2 linked regions of the Stegostoma tigrinum genome follow. The protein of the gene in region 1 interacts with the protein of each later gene in a pairwise test. Links are inferred from orthologs where the notes say so. Each region holds a gene or a part of one and is shown on either strand. Other genes may lie near its edges.

The links. The genes of interacting proteins can lie anywhere in the genome.
Region 2: the proteins of SAM pointed domain-containing Ets transcription factor (region 1) and homeobox protein Nkx-3.1 interact in a two-hybrid assay, tested with the Homo sapiens proteins (2 studies listed by BioGRID). The link is inferred for Stegostoma tigrinum from reciprocal best matches to the Homo sapiens genes SPDEF and NKX3-1.

What each region holds. Positions count from the first base shown.
Region 1 is NC_081374.1:38,396,638-38,404,054, forward strand, and holds the start of SAM pointed domain-containing Ets transcription factor, read left to right. Parts: upstream 1-4,414; 5' UTR 4,415-4,533; intron 4,534-7,417. UniProt on the Homo sapiens protein: May function as an androgen-independent transactivator of the prostate-specific antigen (PSA) promoter. Binds to 5'-GGAT-3' DNA sequences. May play a role in the regulation of the prostate gland and/or prostate cancer development.
Region 2 is NC_081393.1:5,424,144-5,432,121, forward strand, and holds the start of homeobox protein Nkx-3.1, read left to right. Parts: upstream 1-4,970; 5' UTR 4,971-5,057; coding exon 5,058-5,247; intron 5,248-7,978.

The DNA.
Region 1 (7,417 bases):
ATCCATTCATTGAGCTAAAAATTGGTCTTTTTCTTGTCCACTTCTTGCATCATGACAAGTTGGATTTTAATCTCAGCGGAATGTGCAAGATTCACATTCCAACTCAAATTAGCAAATCGGACCAGTCAGGATGTTAAAAGTTGCAACACCTTGAATGAAATGTATTTGTTCAGGAGGAAGAGGAGCCAGAGAGACTGACATTATTTTCACTACAATAAGCCTGCATGTCTTATGTCACATATTGGCTAAATTGATCGTTTAAATTACAAAGTTGCCTAAAGCATTTTGCATGGTTTCATTGAAATTGTGGAGTTAACCCCTGAGATTTGGCGCACATCAAACGTCAATACAATTTTTATACAACCCCAGAGGGAAAATATGTTACAATATGAACAGTGTATTAGCGAACAATTCCAATCTCATCAACAGCACTATAGCTAATGGCAAGGAGCTGAAAGAGTCATGAGGAAGATGTACCAAGAAATTAAGCCCTATAAATTGAGAAAATCGAAAATTCTAGCCATGACTCATTCTACTTGGGTGGATTCTAATTATTGCTGGTCAATAGCAAAGTATGTTGCTAAGGGATTAGGGTTGAGGCTTTCGAATGTAGAGTAAGAAGAAGAGTTATAACTCTTGCACAGCAATTCAACTCCTTTTGGATCCATTAAAGTAATTCACATACCACCCACCAACCTGTACCTCCAATGAATTATTCTCTAGCACTTCCGTTACCTACAATCCAACCCTAAGTCTAAAGAGATATTTCCCTCCCCACACCTATCTACTTTCCGTAGGGATTACTCGCTCCTTGTCTGCTCCACGCTCCCACTCACCCCACAACACCCGGCACCTTTCCCTGCAACCGCAGGAAGTGCTACACCTGCCCCGACACCTCCTTCTTAACCTCCATTCAAGACCCAAAGCAAAGCTTTCACTTTCGACCTATACATCCTCTAACTTGGTCTCCTGTATCCGTCACTCCCGATGTGGCCTCCTCTACTTTGGTGAGATGAAACATAGACTCAGGGTCCATTTTGTAGAGCACCTGTGCTCTGTATGCAACAAACGACCACACCTTCTGGTCACCAACTATTTTAACTCCCCCTCCCAATCCCTTGATGACATGACCATTCTGGGCCTCCTCCAGTGCCACAATGTCACCATCCGCAAAATGGAGGAGCAACACCTCATATCCTGCCTCAGGAGCCTACAGCCCGATGGCCCTAACATAGAATTCACTAGTTTTAAAATCTCCTCACTCCCACCCTCATCCAATGTCCAACTCTCCCTCTCAATTCTGCCGCCTTGATCCGACACAACCTGTCCATCTTCTTCCCCACCTACCTATTCTACCCTTCCTGCCAACAAATCCCCACTAGCCCCTACCTGCATCCAACCTGTCACCATCCCACCTATTTTTCCCCAGCCCCACTCATCCTCCTTCCTGATTCCTTGACCTGATGCAACCTGTCCATCCTCTCTCCCACCTATCCACCCCACCCATCTCACTGACCAATCCACACAACTCCCTACCTGTATCCACCTATCACCATCCCATCTACCTTCCCCAGGCCCACCCCTGCTCTCTCTATTTATCTCCCAGCTCCCTTCCCCCTCCTCATATTTGAGGAAGGGTCCCTACCCAAAATGTCAACTTTCCTGCTCCTCTGATGCTGTGTTCCTCCACACTATGTTGTCTGTGGTCTTGTTCTTTTCGACAATAGCTTACACAGTGCAACTCAACTCCACAATGACGATCGGGATCCTATCTACATCACAGAACCCAGATTTCCATATCAATCAAAACCCCAGTGACCTAAACTACCAGGTTCTCCAGCTGCTGAGTGATGCTTGGTCAAGCTGATTGGGAGTGAAATAACGTGCATTAAAATTAAGAGTTCTTGCACCCAGTTTCTGCTCATCAAGAACCAGTGAAGCACCTCCCTCCCAGTTTTCTTCCTAATCCATTCTATCCCAAAAAAGTGTGAATTATCGAACTCCTTACTGAACTCTTTATTCCTCTGCTCTCTAGGTATTTAAAGGCCCCTACTCAGATTGCAATTAACTATCTCTTTACAGTTTTAATCGCTTCATCTCTCATTTCTTTCAAGCTAGATGCTTTTTCAATCCTTTTCATTTAAAAGAAATTCTCCCCGTATCCATTTCTTGGTGCTATTTCAAACTCCCCCGTCTTTATGAATTGCCAATTCTCTAAATTCAGTCCATTTCTATTTATGTACCATCTACGCTTTTCATCCATAATTTGATAAGAGGACTCCGGGTTGTCCCAGTGAGATTAGAAAAGCATGAGTGTATCTCTTTCGGAGGGATACAACAAATAGAGGACTAACATTTCCGCATTACAACAGTGACTACACATCAAAAGGTACTATCATAAAATCCCTACAGAGTGGAAGCAGGCCATTTGGCCCATCAAGACACACTGATCCTACAAAGTGCATCCCACCCAGACCTACTCCGTCCCTGCAACCCTGCATTTTCCATGGCTAATCCATCTAGCCTGCACATCAGGGGCAATGAGGCATGATTGATCCATCGAACTGGCTCATTTTTGGACTGTGGGAGGAAACCCACGCAGACACAGGGAGAATGCGCAAACTTAGACAATTGCCCGAGGGTAGAATTGAATGCAGGTCCCTGCATCCTAATCACTGATCCACCATGTCGCTACTTTATATACCATAAAACACTTTGATACGCCTGGTTATCACAAGACCATAAGATATAGAAGCAGTATTAGGCCATTTGGTCTATTGTGTCTGCTCTGCCATTTGATCATGGCTGATGTGTTTTTAAAATGGAACAAAGAGACCGTGTGGTGTAGGTTCATAGTACCTTGAAGGTAGAGTCACAAGTAGACAGGATAGTGAAGAACGTGTTTGGTAGACTTGCCTTTGTTGGTCAGTTCAGTGAGTATCAGTGTTGGGATGTCATGTTGTGGCTGTACAGGATGTTGGTTAGGCCACTTTTGCAATATTGCATTCATTTCTAGTCTCCCTGCTAAAGGGAAGATGTCGTTAAACTTGAAAGGGTGCAGGAAAGATTTACAAGAATATTGCCAGGGTGAAGGGTTTGAGCTATAGGGAGAGGTTGAATAGGCTGTTGCTATTCTCCCTGGAGTTGTCAGAGGTTGAGAGTGGTTTTATAGAGGTTTATAAAATCATGAGGAGCACAGATAGGATGAAAAGCCAAGGTCTTTTTCCTAAAGTAGGGGAGTCCAAAATAGAGGACATAGCTTTAAGGTAAGAGGGGAAATATATAAAATCATCCTAAGAGGCAAATTTTTCACACAGAGGTGGTGTATGTTTGGAATGAGCTGCCAAAGGAAGTGGTGGAAGCTGGTACAATAACAACATCTAAAAGGCACCTGGATGCGTACTTGAATAGGAAGGATTTATAGTGATATGGGCCAAATGCTGGCAAATGGAACCAGATGAATTTAGGATATCTGGTTGGCATGGACACGTTGCACTGAGGGGTCTGTTTCCACACTGTACAACTCTATGAATCCTGCCTTCTCCCAGAAACCCTTGATCCCCTTATTAATCATGAACATACCTAACTCTATCTTAAATATATTCCCCCTCATCCTTCTAATCTACATCGATTACAGACCCAGAGTCCTCAACTACTCCTCATATGACAAGCCCTTCATCTTGGGGTCATTCTTCTAAACTTCCTCTGAACTACTTCAAATGTCAACACATCCTTCCTTAGATAAAGGACACAAAACTGCTTATAATATTCCAAATGAGATCTGACTTGAATCTTATAGAGCCTCAGCTCTTGTATTGTAGCTCTCATGAAATGAATGCAAGCATTGTGTTTGCCTTCCTGACTGCTAACTGAACATGGAAATATTCATGGAAAGAATTTTATAAATACAAACATTTCATTTCAACATAGAAATATTAATTAAGAATAATATTAGTCAATAGCAATATTATTTGAAAGCAATACTATTTCCCATCCCCACAGCATAGTCCAGTTCCTGTTGAACCTGTTATTTGGGGAAAATCTCAGGTATGCAGCCAGACATGGCATACACCCCCTCTATAACCACACTGAGCTATTGGCATAATCAGTCTAGCCAGAAGGACCACCGCCAAGGATTATGCCCACTCCGAACCTCTAGATGGCTATCTTTACCCAAGGGCAGACCCGCAGGGAGGTCCTCTCAGAGCCCCAATCCCCAACCCCATCCAAAGGGCAAAATAGTTTTCAGTCTCAACTTGCTTCCTTGAATTAAGCAAAAAATGTACTGAAGAGTTAATCACTGGCTGGGATACATAAAAAGTCAACTGATGCAAGCCTATTGTGTTTGCACAGGTAAACAATGTGTGATTATAAATTCAGCCACTGCCTTCAGCTGCTATAACCAGACAGGAAACATCAGCACAAGGTGTATTGTGGAGCTGTACCAGACACAGTCCTCAGCCAAGCAATCTGACGGTGGATACAAAGAATTCTTTTACTTTTTTTGCACAAGGAGAAAGGTGCTGAGTGGAGGTAAGTCTGATGTCTATCAACATCCATTCATGAAAAGCAGTTAAACTGTATTAAAGCAACTCACTATAGTAAGGGCCTAGAGTGATTTTAAATGTAATAGATTAGGAAGGACACAGCATTAACTGGCAAAACCTGCTGGATTACTTTTCACTGCATGTTGCAATTTTTTTTTAATGGTCTTCTGCCTTTTGTATTGATCAGAATAAATTATATGCAGGCTTAAACTTTGTCTTAGTGTAACTCAACTGCTTAAGTTTAACTTGGTCTATTCAAAAGTGCCTGAGTTTATAGATATTATAAATCATAAGAAAGGTGCAATAAAGATTTAAGTGGCATTGGTTTACAGGATACTCCAGCACAGGAGGCCATTCAGGTTCTTTGAAGGAGTTATGCAATTTGACCTACTCCTTTGCTTTATTCTTATAGCACAGTGTTATTTTTTCTTTTTGAGTTTATACACAAGTGATAGCCCTACACTTGCCAAAGCCAAAAACAGCGAGCTTGTCTGAGATTACAAACCAAATGTAACCAGAAAAACTTCATTATCTCCCATATTTCCCTCTACAATATTGCATCAAATCCATAGATGTGGGTCACATTCTATTCCTGCTCTCCTACATGAGTTGCCTAATCCCTTTGACAATAAATGCAAATTGTCATGCCTCCAATGTGGACAGCTGTCTTAAGGATGGGTATTTGTTTTATTTCTTTACCACATTCAGTGTGGAAGGCATGTGCTGTTTGAAGCAAGTAGGAGATAGCTGATCATTAGTAGTGTAAATGTGAGTTTTTCCAGTGGATCACTGGGTATGGTAGAAGAGCCCAAGGAAGTCTTTGTTCCAATCCTCAGTCTGTGTTGACTATGGCTGATCTTAGTCAGAGTAGGGCCATGATCAGAGACACTAGGTTCTGGCTGCCTGGTCCAAGTGTTGGAAAGTATACGTATGTTTGCATCACACAATCACGGGATTCAACTTGGCTATGAGGCATCACACAGATTAATAGCTGGTTGGTGCCAACTCTCAAAGCTCACTCAGGATGAGTGGGCATTGGATTGGGGTACAGAAATTTGGCTGGTACAGAAACTTGGCTGATGGCCTGACAGTACCATATAAAGGGGAATAGATGGGGGGAGGTAAATAGCCACCCTTGTGAAAAGTATGAAATACAGGTTCAGCAGGAGATACTCTCATATTGGACCAATGTTGTCCTTTGCTGCAGGTCTATCTACTGTTCTTTTTTGAGCACAGTAAACGCATACTGTGCTTTATGTTTCATGTAAAATGGTGTCTTTGTTTATTGGTCAAGAGCTTAAATTTACCACATTTTTAGATGGGGAGTGAATATTCTGTTCCATGATTTCATAGGGTCAAACAACGGTTTGAAACATCTTGTCGAATTTCCAGAAAAGTCTGATACTAAATAGTTTGCAAAAGCAAAGCCAGAAAATTACTCTGAATTAAGTTGCATGTCTAAGTCAAAGGGACATATGACCAAATTATTAACAGATAAATTTAACATTGATAGAGGGTTAGAAAGAAAATTGACCTCAGGGAATTCTTACAAATTCTGATTGATACTTGGAAATGAACACCTGGCTAGAGGACTAGGTGAACTTTCCTGTTGAGTGTTAGGTGTAGAGGCTGGGGTGGGTGCATGGATTATTTCAATGCCATGTTCATGTCAAACAAAAAGTCACCATGACCAGAGCAAAACCCATCCATCCAGCTCTGGGTGACACCCTTGATGTTGGCGCCTTATGCTTCTGTCATCTCCGGGGTGCAGCAGCAAACAATATGCAGTTACCTTCTCTAAGAGGTGATCTGTGGGATTGAACCCTAATCACAGGGCAATTACAAAGAAGGTAGTCCATTCAGCCCACTTAATTCACCCACTGCCCTATCCCAGAGACCATTTGAGCATTGATCGACTTTTGTGTGAAAAGGATTCCTGATACAAATTCAAAATACCATTTTGGGCTCATTGACCTTCTCACATAATTGCGTTTGTAGGATATTTTTCACTATTATTTGTTAAAAGGTCACCTATTGGACATTGCCTTTCCGAATGGAAAGACTAAATGCCAACTGTAGTCCAAAATCATTAGGAAGGGCAACCAGCCTTTGAGAAACTTCTTCTAACACTGGACTTCTCACATTGGAGGGCAGATTTGGGAAACATGGCTGTGAGAGACAGAATCTATGACTGTCAATAATTCACGTACTTCACTGATCTCAGACTGTAATTCCTTAGAAGGACTGCAGCTCCAGTTAAACTGTTCCTTGAAGTGCTAACATTTAGAACAGAAAAACTTAGGTTCACTCTGCTTATTGGAATATGCACAAATCATTTCAGTAACATAAGTCTGTGAAATATAAATAGTTAAAGTGGCTTGAAGAGACTGAGAGAGTACAGATCAAGGTGAGTTGGTAGGTGCCCAGATGAAGTGACAGTCTTTATTTTTGTTTTTGGTAAATTGGAGGTAAAGCTCATTTATATCTATATTGCTAAGAGTCTGGAATAGATCAAATCAATGCAAAATGTGCTGTGTCAGTGTGTATTTGAATTGAGAACAGTATTACACACAAGTGTGATGGCTTCAAGGTTGAATTGCCTTTAGCCAAACACAATAAACACACACACATGAAGAATGGCTACTTGTGTCAGCTGAAGGATCACTGTAAAATGCACTTGAACTCTCCAAGAAAGATGAGGAGAAAACTACATAGGAGAAAATACCATGGATGTATGCAGATTATATTTCTGCTTTCTTTCATGGGATGATAGCATCACCAGCTGGGCCATGCATTTATTACCAATTCCCTGATTACCATATGGGGTGGTGGGGGCCACCTCCATGACATGGTGCAATCATTGTAGACTG
Region 2 (7,978 bases), on another chromosome or scaffold:
GTCACTTCCCTCAGCCTTTCCCTCCCTCTGTGTGATTTCTCTCAGTTCTCCCCTCTCCCTCACTCTGTCACTTCCCTCTGTCTCCCCTCTCCCTCACTCTGTCACTTCCCTCTGTCTCCCCTCTCCCTCACTCTGTCACTTCCCCCTGTCTCCCCTCTCCCTCACTCTGTCACTTCCCTCTGAGTCCCCTCTCCCTCACTCTGTCACTTCCCTCTGTCTCCCCTCTCCCTCACTCTGTCACTTCCCTCTGTCTCCCCTCTCCCTCACTCTGTCACTTCCCTCTGTCTCCCCTCTCCCTGACTCTGACACTTCCCTCTGTCACCCCTCTCCCTCACTCTGTCACTTCCCCCTGTCTCCCCTCTCCCTCACTCTGTCACTTCCGTCTGTCTCCCCTCTCCCTCACTCTGTCACTTCCCTCTGTCTCACCTCTCCCTCACTCTGTCACTTCCCTCTGTCTCCCCTCTCCCTCACTCTGACACTTCCCCCTGTCTCCCCTCTCCCTCACTCTGTCACTTCCCTCTGTCTCCCCTCTCCCTCACTCTGTCACTTCCCTCTGCCTCCCCTCTCCCTCACTCTGTCACTTCCCTCTGTCTCCCCTCTCCCTCACTCTGACACTTCCCCCTGTCTCCCCTCTCCCTCACTCTGTCACTTCCCTCTGTCTCCCCTCTCCCTCACTCTGTCACTTCCCTCTGTCTCCCCTCTCCCTCACTCTGACACTTCCCTCTGTCTCCCCTCTCCCTCACTCTGTCACTTCCCTCTGTCTCCCCTCTCCCTCACTCTGACACTTCCCTCTGTCTCCCCTCTCCCTCACTCTGTCACTTCCCCCTGTCTCACCTCTCCCTCACTCTGTCACTTCCCTCTGTCTCCCCTCTCCCTCACTCTGTCACTTCCCCCTGTCTCCCCTCTCCCTCACTCTGTCACTTCCCTCTGTCTCCCCTCTCCCTCACTCTGACACTTCCCTCTGTCTCCCCTCTCCCTCACTCTGTCACTTCCCCCTGTCTCCCCTCTCCCTCACTCTGTCACTTCCCCCTGTCTCCCCTCTCCCTCACTCTGTCACTTCCCCCTGTCTCCCCTCTCCCTCACTCTGACACTTCCCTCTGTCTCCCCTCTCCCTCACTCTGTCACTTCCCCCGTCTCCCCTCTCCCTCACTCTGTCACTTCCCTCTGTCTCCCCTCTCCCTCACTCTGACACTTCCCTCTGAGTCCCCTCTCCCTCACTCTGTCACTTCCCTCTGTCTCCCCTCTCCCTCACTCTGACACTTCCCTGTCTCCCCTCTCCCTCACTCTGTCACTTCCCTCTGTCTCCCCTCTCCCTCACTCTGACACTTCCCTCTGTCACCCCTCTCCCTCACTCTGTCACTTCCGTCTGTCTCCCCTCTCCCTCACTCTGTCACTTCCCTCTGTCTCACCTCTCCCTCACTCTGTCACTTCCCTCTGTCTCCCCTCTCCCTCACTCTGACACTTCCCCCTGTCTCCCCTCTCCCTCACTCTGTCACTTCCCTCTGTCTCCCCTCTCCCTCACTCTGTCACTTCCCTCTGCCTCCCCTCTCCCTCACTCTGTCACTTCCCTCTGTCTCCCCTCTCCCTCACTCTGACACTTCCCCCTGTCTCCCCTCTCCCTCACTCTGTCACTTCCCTCTGTCTCCCCTCTCCCTCACTCTGTCACTTCCCTCTGTCTCCCCTCTCCCTCACTCTGACACTTCCCTCTGTCTCCCCTCTCCCTCACTCTGTCACTTCCCTCTGTCTCCCCTCTCCCTCATTCTGTCACTTCCCTCTGTCTCCCCTCTCCCTCACTCTGACACTTCCCTCTGTCTCCCCTCTCCCTCACTCTGTCACTTCCCCCTGTCTCACCTCTCCCTCACTCTGTCACTTCCCTCTGTCTCCCCTCTCCCTCACTCTGTCACTTCCCCCTGTCTCCCCTCTCCCTCACTCTGTCACTTCCCTCTGTCTCCCCTCTCCCTCACTCTGACACTTCCCTCTGTCTCCCCTCTCCCTCACTCTGTCACTTCCCCCTGTCTCCCCTCTCCCTCACTCTGTCACTTCCCCCTGTCTCCCCTCTCCCTCACTCTGACACTTCCCTCTGTCTCCCCTCTCCCTCACTCTGACACTTCCCTCTGTCTCCACTCTCCCTCACTCTGTCACTTCCCCCTGTCTCCCCTCTCCCTCACTCTGTCACTTCCCTCTGTCTCCCCTCTCCCTCACTCTGACACTTCCCTCTGTCTCCCCTCTCCCTCACTCTGTCACTTCCCTCTGTCTCCCCTCTCCCTCACTCTGACACTTCCCTCTGTCTCCCCTCTCCCTCACTCTGTCACTTCCCTCTGTCTCCCCTCTCCCTCACTCTGTCACTTCCCCCTGTCTCCCCTCTCCCTCACTCTGTCACTTCCCTGTCTCCCCTCTCCCTCACTCTGTCACTTCCCCCTGTCTCCCCTCTCCCTCACTCTGTCACTTCCCTCTGTCTCCCCTCTCCCTCACTCTGACACTTCCCTCTGTCTCCCCTCTCCCTCACTCTGTCACTTCCCCCTGTCTCCCCTCTCCCTCACTCTGTCACTTCCCCCTGTCTCCCCTCTCCCTCACTCTGACACTTCCCTCTGTCTCCTCTCTCCCTCACTCTGTCACTTCCCTCTGTCTCACCTCTCCCTCACTCTGTCACTTCCCTCTGTCTCCCCTCTCCCTCACTCTGACACTTCCCTCTGTCTCCCCTCTCCCTCACTCTGACACTTCCCCCTGTCTCCCCTCTCCCTCACTCTGTCACTTCCCCCTGTCTCCCCTCTCCCTCACTCTGACACTTCCCTCTGTCTCCCCTCTCCCTCACTCTGTCACTTCCCCCTGTCTCCCCTCTCCCTCACTCTGTCACTTCCCTCTGTCTCCCCTCTCCCTCACTCTGACACTTCCCTCTGTCTCCCCTCTCCCTCACTCTGTCACTTCCCTCTGTCTCCCCTCTCCCTCACTCTGACACTTCCCTCTGTCTCCCCTCTCCCTCACTGTCTCTACCTGGCTTGCTCTATCTCCAACCACATTTCTGGGTTTTCTCTCTCCATCTATGTCATCCATTCCCTCAGACTTCTCTCTCTCCCCGATTTCCTTTTGCTGCTCATAGAACATAGAACATTACAGAATAGCACAGGCCCTTCGGCCCTCGATGTTGTGCCGACCTGTCATACCGCTCATTTGAGTCAAAGTCTTTCCTTGTTTATCAGGCTGATTCTGAGCTCTTGGTTTTAATCTTCTTCAGACAATATTCCTCTTGTATTTGTCACTCCAACTTCAGCTGCTAGTCAAGCTGTCCCTTACCGTCCCCCTGTGTCTATTTATCTTGGTCCCTCTGTGTCTATTCTTCATGTATTGCCCGTCTCTGCGCGGCCTCTCTCTATTTCAATGTTTTATCAAGACCTCTTTCCTTTCATTCTTCCTTCCATCTTTCCTTTCATTCTTCCTTCCATCTTTCCTCTTTATGATCTATTGAACTTGCACGCTACCTTCTCTGAGTCGTCCAAACCCCGTTATGCTGCAGCTTTCCGTAGTTCTTGCCTGTTTAAATGATCATTATTCTCGTATTCTTCCTGTCAAAGTGCATTAACCCATAATTTCCCACATCACATTCCATCTACAAAGTTGCTCTGCCACTCAATGTCCTCTCAATACCTGAACTTTATCCCTAATCCTTCCATTTTGTCCAACTACTAGAAGACTATCTTCAGTCCGTGCTCACGAAACACCCGTCACCACTGGATCTTCTCTTACAAAGTATCCTTACGCGTGGAAGCTTATTCAATGACCTTTTTTGTTTGGAAATTCAAATATATTTTGGACACTGTTTCCCCTTTGTTGCACCTTACTTAAACAATTGATATCAGTGCCTATGCATAGAATCACAGATACCTAGGAGCGAATCTAATCAAGGTGCTCAGATGATTTATAGGTAAAATCACAGAGACCTGGGATTGAGATAGAGATTGTAATCTAATCGAGGGGTTCGGGGTGGTTTGTACAGAGAAGAAGATACCCCGGGAGGGAGTGCACTGCATTGAACCGTATGTTTATGAAGCTTGTAAAACCTGTATTTGGAATGCCATGGGAACCCAGTTTCAGGAGGTTTGGGGCTAGAAGGAAGATTTCTGAGGCTGGAAAAGGGCCGAATGCAGAATGGAAAGTTGATGCATTTGTTGCGGGGTTTTTGTTTGAGTGACTAAGGGATGGGTGTGCTGTTGTCCCGCCAGCTGTACATTGGCAGGCGCCTGGCCCATTCTTTCCTGACCTTCTCTGAACAAGTTTCCCAGCAGCTGAGCTGACTGAGAGAGGTGGACGGGATGTGTAGAACTCGGGGGAAGGGGGGGGGGGGCGCGTCCTGTCCATTCTCAGGGGAAATGATGGCAGGGGGAAGCGGATGGAGACTGCGACGGTCCTATTCCCTTAACCAGCTCGCCCTGCCTCTCTTTCCCCAGGGAAGCGGAATGTCCCTGGCCTCCTCCAGCTCCTCATCCCTGCAGTATCTTCAAGCGTCGCCGCCGCCTCCCCCCCCCCCCCCCCCCACACCCCACACCAACCTTGTTGCGACAGTTCGCCTCTCCCAGCTGCATTGCCCCGGGGTGGGGAGAGCTGGCCGTAGATTCGCTCTCTGCCATTCCAGAACGACATGTTGGCCAGCTTTTTCTCTCTCTCATGCAAACACACACACACACACACACACACACACACACAGGCTGCAAAAGAGCAGCGCTCGGTGCTCAGAGAACTGGGACCTTAGCTGGGGCACAGTGTGGACGGCAGCGCGGATATATGCCAGTCCCTAGAGCCTGTGGCACCAGCTTCCTGACTGCCTGCGTTGTCAGCTACAACAGCACAGTGTTCCCCCCCCACCCCACCTCCTGTGCAGGGCAGGGCTTGGGACGGCGACCTGATGCCTGCCTCCCAGCCACCTTCTATAAGAAGCTCCATCTCCCTCCGTCCTTCCCACCCTCCCATTTGTCCTCGATTTCCAAAACTCAAAACTGGTGGAGGTCGTGGATTTGTCAGAGGCACGCACTCACAGACAGACACACACACGCAAAAGACAGAGCATGGCTTCATTGAGACGTGCTTTCACGTCGTTTCTCATCCAGGACATCTTGTCGCTTCAGGAAACTTCACCAGGCAGCTTTCCCAGGGGATTCCGTGGGAGCAGGGAGGAGGCAGGACAGCCCAACGCGGAGCCCCGCTCCCACAGCGGCCTGGAGCTGGCATTCACAGGTCAGGCTCTGGGGAGCTCAGGTAGGTTGGGGTGGGGGTGGGGGGGGGGGGGTGGGGGGTGCGGCTAGGGACCCCCCTCAGGCTCAGACCTCAGGTCACACCGCTCCATCGCCGCTGGACCGAGTCAGTGCAAGGCGAATTCAGGATATCTATCCAAATTCAGTTCACATTGGACCCCAGCTCTAAGTCAATCACGTCCCTACCGTGGGGAGACTGAACCTAGCCTCTGTGTCTGTGTGTCAGGGGTTTCTTCTGTTTCTTTCACACCTCCAAAATTTGTCCCGGGCCCTCTGTTAAAATGCTGTGGTTTTGAGTCAATGGGCTGGGTCAGGCACGGACTGGGGCCTGAGGGACGGGCGGGAGGGTGGGGAAGAGGATGCAATCTCAGAGTAACGGATCACTCACTCGACAAAAAGCAGGAACCTTTTTTTGCTTTCTCTCTGTCGTGAAGTGAAACTGACCACATGAGCGCTGCATGGGATGTATTGTTCAGTATGATCATGTCTGAGAGAAACAGGTTTTTAATCAGCAAGGCTGATAAGGATGTTGCCAGGGTTGGAGGGTTTGAGCTACAGGGAGGGGCTGGATAGTCTGGGGCTATTTTCCCTGGAGGATTGGAGGCTGAGGGGGTGACCTTATAGACGTTTATAAAATCATGAGGGTCACGGTTAGGGTGAATATCTAAGGCCTTCTTCCCTTGGAGGGGTAGTCCAAAACTCGACTGCACAGATTTTCTGGTGAAGAGGGGAAGGATTTAACAGGGATGTGAGCGGCAATTTTTCCACACAGAGGGTGGTGCGTGTATGGAATGAGCTGCCAGAGGAAGTGGTCGAGGCTGGTACAGTTACAGCATTTAAAAGGCATTTGGGCACGAATGGGAAGGGTTCAGAGGGAGATGTGCCAAATGCAGGGAAATGGGAAATACTTTAGCTTGGGAAACGTGGTCAATGTGGATAAGATGTTTGTTTCCGAGCTGTGTGACTCCAGGACTCTCAGACCAGGTCAGACGGAACATGGGAGAACAGAGGTAGCTTTGAGGGAAAGATCTTAGATTCTGAGAGCCTCACCCGAACCATAATCCCAACCCAAACCGTTACCCCCACCCTGTGGCTGAGGATGGTGTGTTTGCTCTCAGACGAGGGAGTCACTGCCTGAAAACAAGGGCTGAGCCATTCAGAACAGCCAGGAGATACAGAGTGTTTTGTTCTCATCTCCAGGAGGCTGCTTAGCTCTCTCTGGGAAAAGGCTCCACAGGTGGAGGCTCTGCCGATGATGGAGACAGAGATGCCGAGGTTCTGGTGGTACAAGGGGCAGCCGGGAAGATCTGACTGACTGGTCGAGCAGGCTGCTGGGGGGAACAGGTGATTGTGACCACGACCCCAAGCACAGGGTAGGCCCAGCCTGCTACTGATGTTTGCTGACTCCTCAGCCCAGAGCTATCATGGACTAGACTGGCAGAAGGTTCTCCTTCTGGGCCATTTATTCAATGGGTTGAGAAATCATTGGGAATATTGCCATAGAAATGCTGAGATTTGCAGCGTGTTCTGCGATAGGGTGAAGTTCCAGATCCGGAGCATTGTGGGGTCCCTCAAACTGGGGCCATCATTGTCCCCCTCTCAGAGTACACCCAGCCTCTCTCGCTGTTAGACGAGTGCATTCCTGCGGGTCTCCAAGAATCAGCACCAAGCCTGCAGTGCTGCAAGCCCACACCACACAGTTCTGACTGACTGCAACCCAACAGTGGAACACGAACCTGGAATTTGGATGGCAGCACATGGACCTTGTGATGGGACTGGACCCAGAATGTTCACAATGTATGTGACTGACCAATGAGAGAATCATCAAGGGACAGGAGTGACACAAGGAGGGGGGACTGGAGCTGCGAGGGATAATATAGAACTGATATAGATGGGGAAGTGAAGGAGTGAGATGCTGGCATGTGCCAGTGGGCGAGCGTGAGGAGCAGACATATGCCAGTGGGTGAGTGTGAGGAGCTGGCATGTGCCAGTGGGTGAACGTGAGGAGCTAGCACGTGCCAGTGGGCGAGCGAGAGTTGGAGATGGCATGTGGCAATGGGAGAGCGACTGGAGATGGCCTCTGTCAATGGGAGAGTGAGTGGTGGAGATGGCGTGTGACAATGGGAGAGCGAGCGGAGATAGTGTGTGTCAATGGTAGAGCAAATGGAGATGGTGTGTGTCAATGGGAGAGTGAGTGGTGGAGATGGCGTGTGACAATGGGAGAGCGAGCGGAGATAGTGTGTGTCAATGGTAGAGCAAGTGGAGATGGTGTGTGTCAATGGGAGAGCGTGTGGAGATGGCGTGTGTCAATGGCAGAGCGTGTGGAGATGGTGTGTGTCAACTGGAGAGCGACAGGTGGAGGTGGCATGTGTCAATGGGAGAGTGTGTGGAGATGGCGTGTATGAATGGGAGAGCGAGTGGAGATGGTATGTGTCAATGGGAGAGCGTGTGGAGATGGCGTGTATGAATTGGAGAGCGAGTGGAGATGGTGTGTGTCATTGGGAGAGTGAGTGGAGATGGAGTGTGTCAATGGGAGAGCATGTGGAGATGGACTGTGTCAATGGGAGAGCAAGTGATGGAGATGGTGTGTGTCAATGGGACAGCGTGGAGATGGTGAGTGTCAATGGGAGAACGTGTGGAGATGGACTGTGTCAATGGGAGAGCAAGTGATGGAGATGGTGTGTGTCAATGGGACAGCGTGGAGATGGTGAGTGTCAATGGGAGAGCGAGTGGAG